2 linked regions of the Schizosaccharomyces pombe genome follow. The gene in region 2 interacts genetically with the main gene of each other region. Each region holds a gene or a part of one and is shown on either strand. Other genes may lie near its edges.

Region 1 (5,371 bases), on a different chromosome or scaffold from region 2:
GCTAAGGCAAAAAGCGTCACTTTACCAAGAGGTCTAGCGTAGTTTTTATAAAACATAATCTTTATGATCGTTAATAAAATAATGTTAAATAAAACAATGCAAAAATGCTTGAATGAATTTTAGCACAGATAAAATTTATGACCTAAAGCGTATTTAGAAAAGCTTACATGAGGTGAGATTTCTTTTTGTTGACTATTAAATCTTTTCTGCTGAACTGGCACCTTTTTTACAGTCCATTTCGCAAAATTGATGGGCAATTTGCGTAACATTTTGAGACTATAGGTGATGGTTAATTATAACGTTCCCGCTGCACCATACACACTACAATCTATTTGAATGATGCATAATTTGGTTCATTTCTAATCAAGATCCAAGTTTCTACGAAAATTAGCAACTATTTTTCATATTCCTTAGGTTTTTGTGATTAGTTATTTGTTATTTTTTTTTGCCAGTCAATTTGAAACAAAGGAGAGATAAAATTTGTTTTGTATCGTATTATAAAGTGAACATATAAATACATTAAGATCCGTAGGAACACTAAGCTACCATAATTTTATCTTCGAATGCAATGATTTAAAATCTATTTAAGTAGAATTGACAAATATGAATGTGTTATGCAGCAGAACATGCTTCGACTCAAAAATTATAAAAAGAAAGATACAGTACCGTTTACAAATTAGGAGGTTAAAATCCAAGTGCTCGCATGATTGGTGTTCCAATTAATAGGAGAATCACGAAGGAAATTAGTGTGGCAGGAATACCAGCTTTTAAAAAGTCACTAACTTTCAAATATCTTTTGCCAGCTTCATTTTCCATCATGATAGCTGTCATATTAGGAAAACCACTGGTTGGCAAAGCCATAGCAAGACTACACATCATTCCCGAAGCCAAAACGAAAAGACGTGGATGAGGATCGGCAAGGCGACTTCCAACTTCATGGACAATGGGAAGTACCACCATTGCAGCTACTATATGAGAAATAAATGAAGAAACAACAAGAGTCAAAGCAGAAAAAATAAGCAGTACCCTAAATGTATTAAGGGAAGAAACAGCATTACCTATTTTAAGGGCAATAAGTTCTAAAAGGCCGGAAGAAGACACTACTTTTCCTAACGCAACACCTCCCATTGCCAAAACTATGACTGTCCACAAAAAATTATTAAAATCCTCCTTGGTTAACAAACCTGTTCCGAAGAATACAATGATTGGGACTAATGCAATAACACCCATATCACCAAACACCTCATCGAAGCGGCGTTCAAGGCACCAAAGGACTATAGTACCAATCGTAACAATGGAAATAAACCATTGGACACCAGTAAATGTATCCTTGGTGGAGCGAATTTTAGCTAAAGTGATGTGCTCATCTTTCAGTAATCCAAAAGACAACAGAAACCATATAGAAAATATACACAGTAACGATACAGGAATACTGACGGCAAACCATTCACCCCATCCCGCAGCGGGATCCATATTCTGTAGCGCAACAATATTTTGTGGGGATGAAATAGGCGAAGCAATACCTCCAACATTAGATGCCAAAGCAATACCCACAATTAGTATCTTTGCAAAATCGGACTCTGCTGGTAAATTTCTCAGAAGGGGCTGAATAATAGAAAAACACAACACTGGCGCAGCAACGTTGCTAATCCACATACTAGCAAACATGGCAACGAACATGTTTGTAAGAAGCACGCTTCTAGGCTTACGCCCTGCATGCGCTAAAATGGAAGTCGCCAACCTTTTAGCAATATGATATTTGCTTAGAGCAGCTGCAATGGTAAAACCTCCTAAAAGCAAAACTATAGTTGGATTCCACATCGAACTAAATATAACCTTTGTTGATTCCTTTCCAGAAAGAGGTGAACCGTTCTCATCTCTCAAAATTTTCAAAAACACAGTCATAAAAGGAACCAAAAACGAAGTAACGAACAAAGGAATAGCCTCCGTAGCCCATAATAAAGAAACCATTACTAACAAAGCCAAACAATTGTTCTGTTCCCTATTATCTATGACAGGAAAACTTAATAAGAGAATAAATATAACGATAATAGTAATTAAAGTTGCAATCGTGCTATTAAAGAAGCATCTTGGGATTCTAAAAACACCAAATTTAGTTTTGATTGTAAAATAGGGGGGCTGTTCTGATTCTTTCTCATCAGCTGCGACAGGCTTCAGTCCTGATAATCTCGCGGCCTGAGTACGACGCTCCATAGCCATCATTTCACGCCAAATAGTGTTCCTTTCCCATGCAACGTATTCACGAAGATGACCACGAAGGCGACGGATAGCCACAAATGTATCGCCTTGACAGCATAGCTTAGCATACCACTCTGCAACAATATTTAAACGCTTTGACAATGTTTTCCCAGTAGCAGGAAGGAAAGGGTAAGCTTGGTTGACGCGCTTCATGTACGATTCACGAAGGCTACTACCCAAAGTTTTATCATATTTTTTTAAGATTTTTGAAAAACCAGTATAATTAAGATGGACGTACGAAATCAAGTCATGAATTGAAACATACAACTGTGTCAGTTTTCGCTTTAAAGAAACGAAGTTTTCGTACGCAACAATATCAGATGGATATTGTTCAATAAGCAACCATCGATTGTTATTGTTGTTATCTTCGTCTTCATCTTCGTCCTCATCTTCATCATCATCATCATCATCTTCCTCCTCCACCTCATCATCATTGCCTTGTACCTCAGGTTGAGCTTCTGAATGTTGTTTTTTTGATAAACCGTTTTTAGAAGTATCGACATCATGAGGTTCAGACGGTTGAATAGCAGTAGATTCTGCTCTAGATATAGCAGGGGCCGCATAACCTCCATCACTAGTTTGCCCATTGAGATATATCTCACGGTTTGAAGAAGTAATGCGAGGCAATTCTTGGCTGCGGGCCATACGACCAGATTTCCTACTCGCTGAGCTCTTTTGTAATCGTTCAGGGGTAGGGTAATTAATGTTGTTTCCCTGACTCATATACTCATTCTCATAGGTTTCAAATTCGCCCTTAATTCTACCATACTGATCAGCAATTTCTTTTTCTTTAGGAGCATAAAATTCAACAATTCCTTGTAATTCCTTGTCTAAAGCAAACATAAAGCGATCATCGGGTGATCTTCTTTCGTGCTCTAACAGCCTAGTTTCTTCATCTGGAGCGCCTTGTTGTAATGTTATCTGTTCATGTTCCAATGAATAAATACTTAAAAATATATGTTAGCAAAATTCAAGTACAATTTTATTCTCCGGCTGTTAATCAGACATTATCCCAAATTTCGCAAGTATGAATTTGTCGGAATATAGGATATATCATAATAGCCAGTCGTAAGCTCGAGAATTTTCAAACATACAGCTTCTTAAGGTTCGAGTAACTAAGCACCGATTGTTAGCAAAAATCGGAAGTAATCCAACAGGTTGTTTACTTACGCAATGTAGCTTTCGGACCATTCCGGTACTGCATTAAATTGAAGACTAAAAAGTAATTAGAACAAGTCTTGTGAAAACTGATGCAACAAACCTATGACTGAATTTCATCTTGGATGACAGAGGTCATTTAACTTCAATTGTGACTAAAAACAGCTTTAGCTTATTCACGCAAATTAATTTGGAACAATCTAAAGGAGCGTTAGCCGTTCAAATTTCGTGGCCTATGATCGGAGGTGAAGCTGTATTCGTGGATCCAACCTCCGATAGAAATAGCGTAATATAACAACGTGTGTTAAATAATATAGCAAAGTGCAATGCTTTTTTACTTAGTAAATTATTTGGGATCCTATTGTATTTTAATTTAACAAACAAGCAATTTGCAGGGAAAAAGGATTTTTGGCATTCTATCAATTTAAATACATACATAGCATTGGTTACTTCTTGGGATTTCAAAGGGTTTTAGTAATAGACTTTATAATTTTAAAACACAATGGCGGAAGTGAAAAAATCAATTCCAAAACGTCGTTTTGTTGGCAAAAAAAATAGGAAGGAAAATAATTTGGATGGTTCTAATAGAGATGTTGAAAATGCTGCTCTCGTCACTATTAACTCCAAGAGGAGCGCTGGACGAGTAGCTACTCAAATCCCAGAGGATATATTAAACGATAAAGCAATTAATGAAGCTATAAAATTGGTAAGCTGCTTTTATTAGAGAAAGATGCCGTAAATTAGTTTCTTCTTTTCTCAAAAACATCAAAGCTTGGTCAGCTAACCTTTAATAGTTACCGCAAAATTACAATTTTGAAATTCACAAAACCATTTGGCATATTCGCTTACGAAAAGCAAAACGTGTTGCCTTGCAACTTCCCGAGGGGCTATTGATGTTTGGTTGTATATTGTCTGATATTTTTGAACAATTTTGCCAGGTCGAGACAATTGTGATGGGCGACGTTACATACGGTGCGTGTTGTATTGACGATTTTACAGCTAGGGCACTCGATTGCGATTTTTTAGTACACTATGGTCATTCTTGTCTTATACCTGTTGATCAAACGCCCATAAAGGTGCTATATGTTTTCGTGGATATAAAGATAGATTTGCAACATGTCGTATCATCTTTAAAACATAATCTACCCTCCAATTCTAGGTTAGCTTTGGTTGGAACTATCCAATTTGTTGGATCTCTCAACTCTATAAAAGACGCTTTGCAAATACAGGATGAAGACGGAAAGGGAGGTTTTTACGTTGTTATTCCACAAGCAAAGCCATTATCTCCTGGAGAGGCGTTGGGATGTACATCTCCCTATATTGAAAAAGGATCTGTAGATGCATTAATTTACATTGGTGACGGAAGATTCCATTTGGAATCTGTCATGATTGCTAATCCTGATTTGCCCGCATACCGCTATGATCCTTACTCACATAAGCTCTCTATTGAATCTTATGCTCATGAAGAAATGAAATCTATTCGGTATTCCGCCGTTGAGAAAGCTCGTACCGCTAAAAAGTTCGGTCTAATTCAAGGTACACTGGGTCGACAGGGGTCTCCTAAGGTACTCGAAAATTTAAAGAATACTTTAAGGAAAAATAATAAAGATTTCGTTTGCGTTTTAATGTCAGAAATTTTTCCTAGTAGATTGGGTCAATTCTCTGATATTGACGCGTGGATTCAGGTCGCTTGTCCAAGGCTTTCCATAGATTGGGGCTATGCATTTCCCGCTCCATTGTTGACACCATATGAAGCATCTGCTGCTTTTAATGTTGTTCCTTGGAAGGAAGTTTATCCTATGGACTTTTACGCTACCAATTCATTAGGTAATTGGACTCCAAATAATCCCGAAAATCGACCTCTGCCAAATCGCAAAAAAACCGGACCCGTTTCTTCTTAACGCTACTTGCCATTAATGGCACTAATACTTGTTATTTTTTAACCCTTATATTG
Region 2 (5,469 bases):
AATTGCTGGCTACGAGCGTGCTTGGAAAATGTATGGCTCTCTACCTTGGCATAAGTTGTTTGAACCAACCATACGTCTTATGAGAGATGGAATGCCAATGCCCAAGGAACTTGCGTCTCGCATCAGACGACCCGAGTTTTCCTATTTCAAGACTCATCCAGATTGGTCTAAAATATTTGCTCCAGAAGGTGTTTTTTTACACGTTGGAGAAAAGTTTTATCGGCCTGCTCTAGCGTCTACCCTCGAAGAAATAGCTAAGTTTGGTCCTGAAGTGTTTTACACAGGAAAAATTGCAGAAAGGCTTGTAAAGTTTGTTCAACAGCAAGGAGGTATACTAACCATGGAGGATATGGCCAATTTTTCAGTTGTTGTGGAGGAACCTATTTATGGTAACTTCTATGATCGTGAGGTTATTACTTGTGGATCCCCTTGTAGTGGAGAGGCTTTGATTTTAGGTTTAAATGTTCTTTCAAAAGTAGATTTAAGTGAAGGTACTTCTATCCTTGGTTGTGAAATGACGGATATTGGCGTGCACCATCTAATTGAAACAATGAAATGGATGTCCGCTGGACGGACTGTATTAGCAGACCCAACTTTTTACAATAATACAGATCATGTTGAACAGTTACTTTCTTTGGAATATGCTGATGAAATTCGCAATAATATTTCTAACGAGAGGACTTTTGATTTTACTCACTACAAGGCCGAATACGATTTCCCTAACGATCACGGCACTACTCATCTTTCCGTTATCGACAAAGACAATATGGCAGTCGGACTCACAGCTTCTATCAATTTGATGTTTGGTTCACAACTTTTGGAACCTGAAACGGGTATTATACTGAATGATCACATGGACGATTTTGCTTCTCCAGGAATAGTGAATGCTTTCGGTTTGAGTCCATCGCCATACAACTTTATTGCCCCTGGTAAGCGACCACAAAGCTCCGCGGTGCCTACGATTTTGGTATATAATGGTGAAGTTGAAATGGTTCTTGGTGGTAGCGGTGGCAGCCGAATCGTGACAGCTGTGTTAGACACAATTATTAAAAAATATAAATGGGGCAAGTCATTGTTAGAATCTGTTGAGAGTCCTAGATTTCATCATCAGCTAATGCCTAATATCGTCTATATCGATGAAACTGTTGAAATTGAAGTTCTTAGAGCTTTAGAAAAGTTTGGTCATATAGTGGATTTAATCCCCGTTCAATATCCTTTCAGTGAAATTCAAGCTGTTTTCCGCACCAACGGCACATTGTACGGTTTAAGTGATAGCCGAAAACAGGCTGTTGCTGCTGCCTATTAAAATTTCACTAAATTATTAAAAAAAACTCCTTAGACGCTCACAAAATTTTCCTTTATTTGTTGTTATTAATTTATCAGGTTTATTAACTTATTCTCAATCTTTATGTGCTTTTTACTGATCTTTAGCTTGTGGCTGGGATGAGAGAAAAATATTATAAAGCATAAAACGTATGAATGATCACTGTCTACATATTTGTGCACATGATGGTGATGATTGGACCTTCGTTAGTTAGATAGATTACATTCTTTCCTAGATTTAGAAAGTTTTAGCAAAACGAAGAACAATTACATTTAACTTTCGAATTTATTCTAACCGTAACATAATATATCTTCATACTTTAAACGTAAAACAGTAAAATATTTCTTTCGATGTACGAATGGCAAATATTCCTTTACTAATTAAAAATACTTTACTGTGTTAATTAATACTAAATCATTAAATTGAATTAAAGATTCACATAATATCGGATATTTGCTTTTGACCTTCGTGGTCCATGGAATACCACCATACAAATTGTTGAATAGTGAACTTTTGATTTAAGCTTATGAAACTCAACTTCTCTAACACCTTACAATACCCACATGTTTTTGGGGAAAAGGAGAAAGTATGGAAGAAGAAGGACATAAAAGTTTAACTGTAAGAACAAATTTAAGTGTAATTTATTAATTTTTTTCCTTATAGTCGCATCTACCTCAGTCCTCGAGTTCTTTGTCGCAAAGTCGAGAAATTGCTAAAGAATTTACGTCTAATATACCTCCTCCGACTATTAAAACTAATTCATCTTCATCAAATATTCTGAAACCTCGGTTATCATTGCAAAATGAAGTTAACCAACTGAAACCTGCTAAATTTCCCAGTAAGATGTTACCACCAGGAAGCTTAGCCTCGGTTAAATCTTCTAGTCTTGCAAAAAAAGCCAGGCCTTTTACCGCGTCCTCTAATCCCAGGATGCCCAAGTCTGCACATCCCATTTCAAGTCGGTCAGTGTCTGCTTCTTCTCATTTTGGTAGACCTGCCAGTGCTGTTTCATCCAGTTTAAATAGTAGCGATGATGTGAGAAGTATGTCAGATGAAAGTATGGAATCTTATAATGATGAAAAGTCTGTTAATGCCAGCGCCTTAAGGACTACAGAAGACCGGTTGAGGAGTATGGAAATGGCTTATGCTCAATTATCGGCTAAAGTTATTCCTTCACCCTCAAAAAGACCAGCTAATTACAAATTTTACGAACAGAGAATTGCTATGCTTGAAGAATCATTAGAAGTCGAGAGGAGTCGTACATCGGAGTTACAAGAACAATTTTCAGTGGCTCTGAGAGAAAAAGCTGAGGCGGAGGCTAATAAAATCGTTTCTCAAAAGGGTATGGAGAGTTTGGAGATAATGTTAAACTCAATGAAAAGTGAAAATCATCAGCGCATGGCCATGTTGGAAGAGAACCATGCTCGGGTGATGGAGACAGCTGAGCTTCAGCATCAAGCAGAATTACAGGATTTTGCTTCCAATATTGAACAAAAAGCAAATAGTTTAATCATGGAGTACAAAAATGAATTGCAGTCTGCCGAAGAACACTTTTCACACAAGATTAAAGAGCTTACTTCAGAAAATGAACTCAAAATTTCCAGACTACAAGAGGAAAAGGATTCTTTATTAAAGAAAGTTCAGGAGGGCGCTTCGCTGGCTATGCAACGTGTCCAAAATAAGCATGATCTAGAAAAAAAAAGACTGCAATCTGCAATTCAACCGCTTCAGGAAGAAAATAATTCTTTGAAACAGCAGATTGAACAATTACAAAGAGAACTTGCTTCTGAAACAGTTGTTAAGGAAAATCTGAAATCTTCGTTGGACCAACAAAGTGCCAACGTTCAGAAGCTTGAATCTACAAATCGGGCTTTAGAAAGCACTATCAAAACACTTGAAGAAGATGTTTATACTATGAAAAATAAGATTATAGAACTAGAAGGCATTTTAAAATCTGCCAATGTTGAGAGAGACGGTTTAGTTGAGAAACTCATAGCTGAGGAAACTCTGAGAAGAAAACTCCATAATACCATTCAAGAACTTAAAGGTAACATACGCGTTTTTTGTCGAGTGCGACCTCCCCTTGGCGATGGAGAATCAGCACAAATAGCTTTTCCTGATCAAAATTCCGAAGCTAGTACTATAGAGATTGTTGCTCAAGCCCCAGGGTCTTCGTTAACAGGGAACGGGATAAAACAGTATGCCTTTAATTTCGATCGTGTATTTTCCCCTGAAACGACTAATGAGGATGTATTTAATGAACTGTCACAGTTAATTCAAAGTGCTATGGACGGATATAATGTTTGTATATTCGCTTACGGTCAAACAGGTTCAGGCAAGACGCATACGATGTCTTCAAATACAGGAATGATCCCTTCATCTGTAAGAATGATATACAATCGCTCTACTTCTTTGAAAGAACGAGGTTGGGAATATCGGATGGAAGGACAATTTCTAGAAATATACAATGAAACCATTATTGACCTTTTAGCCTCCGGAAATGAAGAAGAGAAGGGAAAGAAAAAACTGGAGATATATCATGACACGAAGGCCGGAAGGACGACTATTACCAATATAACCAGCGAACCGTTAGACACACCTGAGCAGGTAACCTGGTTGTTAGATCAAGCTTCGAAGAACCGTTCTGTTGCGGCTACCAATGCTAATGAACATTCCTCAAGATCGCATTCAGTTTTTATGCTACACTTGAATGGAAGCAATTCTACGACAGGTGAAACATGCAGAAGTACGCTTAATTTGATTGATCTGGCTGGATCCGAAAGACTTTCGAGTAGCCAAAGTGTGGGTGAACGTTTGAAGGAAACGCAGGCAATCAACAAAAGTTTAAGTTGTTTAGGAGATGTAATACATGCTTTGGGAAGTGGAAAGGAAGGAACGTACATTCCGTATCGAAATTCCAAGCTGACTAATTTGTTACAATATTCGTTGGGAGGAAATAGTAAAACTCTCATGTTTGTCAATATTTCCCCACTAAAACAGCATGTTCCCGAAACATTATGCAGTTTGAGATTTGCAACAAAGGTAAATAATACTCAAATTGGCACAGCACGCAAAGTCACAAAATGAACGGAAAGCACCAACAGGATGGCTTGAGGATTGTTGTTTATAAGGAGAGCTGTCTTTTCCGTTTTTGTAAAATATACAGATCTGTTTGCTCTCTTTTGTATACTTTGAAAATAATTTTTATGGGCCTATAAAGAACCACAAGTCAGAACTATTATCGTTTTAATGGACGTATACATACAAGTAAGCGTTCATTTCCAACTCACTCTTTTTTTTTATATATTCGAATACGCTCTTTAGGTTATATGTGTTCTTTCCTTTGAATGTTTTCAAATTTTACCATTATATTTTATGTTTTCTATAATAGTATTGAGCAAATATTTTCTTTTATGACTAGACCCTAATGACATTCCAACTTACTTAGTACGGTGGTTTATAATTCGCTCAAAATGAAGTCATATCTCATAAAGTATGTTCAAAAGTATAGTTAATCTTAGAAAGTAACTGACTACAAAAATTGTTCCAAGTGACTTTTGGATGAAGCAAAGGTGAGCAATTAAATTTCACAGATGAATTACATTTAGGAGAAAAGATCAAGTATCCAAAAATATAATATTACTAGCTATTTTTTTTTTCTCAAACTTGGCAGTTCCTTTAATTCTCTCTTGATAATAAAAATATTAGAAATTCTACTACCCACTGTATATTTTATTCCTTTCGGAATGTTCTTCAGATTGACCCAAGAAATATAGAATAAGCTAAAATTAACAGATTATACTTTATTTTCTTTAATAATTGTACTAATTTCGGTTTCTTAATTGCTACTTAATCCACTTAGTGGGATTATAGGAATTTCCATAAATTTTCCACTGCCAATCTTGAATACATTTCCTTTTTTTCTCTTTCATTTGAATGCTTCTATCCCTTTTCAGTAAATACTGAGGTGGCATTTTTCTATATCTTGCCAATAGTCCAATTCTTTTCCATTTGTTTATCAAATACTGAATTATAACGAGAGCAACATTAAGCATTTTTATCATGTAACCACAGGCTTCTTAAAACGGTTTAGTACCGTATTACTGCAAACCTTCTTCGAGCTTCCTTTTCCTTCACCATCGCAC

The links.
Region 1: mutations in klp2 (region 2) and plt1 together harm fitness more than expected from each alone (negative genetic interaction), as found in Schizosaccharomyces pombe (one large-scale study listed by BioGRID).

Annotation. Positions count from the first base shown.
Region 1 is NC_003423.3:3,385,866-3,391,236, reverse strand, and holds plt1 (phosphate transporter), read right to left. Parts: upstream 3,620-5,371; 5' UTR 3,538-3,619; coding exon 3,521-3,537; exon of another isoform or gene 3,475-3,520; coding exon 3,430-3,474; exon of another isoform or gene 3,375-3,429; coding exon 3,354-3,374; exon of another isoform or gene 3,206-3,353; coding exon 685-3,205; downstream 1-684. Other genes in the region: mitochondrial F1-FO ATP synthase peripheral stalk assembly factor Ina17, read right to left, coding at 1-59, 168-269; diphthamide biosynthesis protein Dph1, read left to right, coding at 3,920-4,123, 4,212-5,318.
Region 2 is NC_003424.3:1,720,083-1,725,551, forward strand, and holds klp2 (kinesin-14 family minus-end directed microtubule motor Klp2), read left to right. Parts: upstream 1-1,871; 5' UTR 1,872-1,912; coding exon 1,913-1,942; exon of another isoform or gene 1,943-1,987; coding exon 1,988-4,411; 3' UTR 4,412-4,820; downstream 4,821-5,469. Other genes in the region: gamma-glutamyltranspeptidase Ggt1, read left to right, coding at 1-1,306. UniProt on the Schizosaccharomyces pombe protein: Minus end-directed microtubule (MT) motor that is involved in spindle microtubule shortening, kinetochore capture, and polarization of cytoplasmic microtubules. During mitosis, promotes spindle microtubule shortening by depolymerization.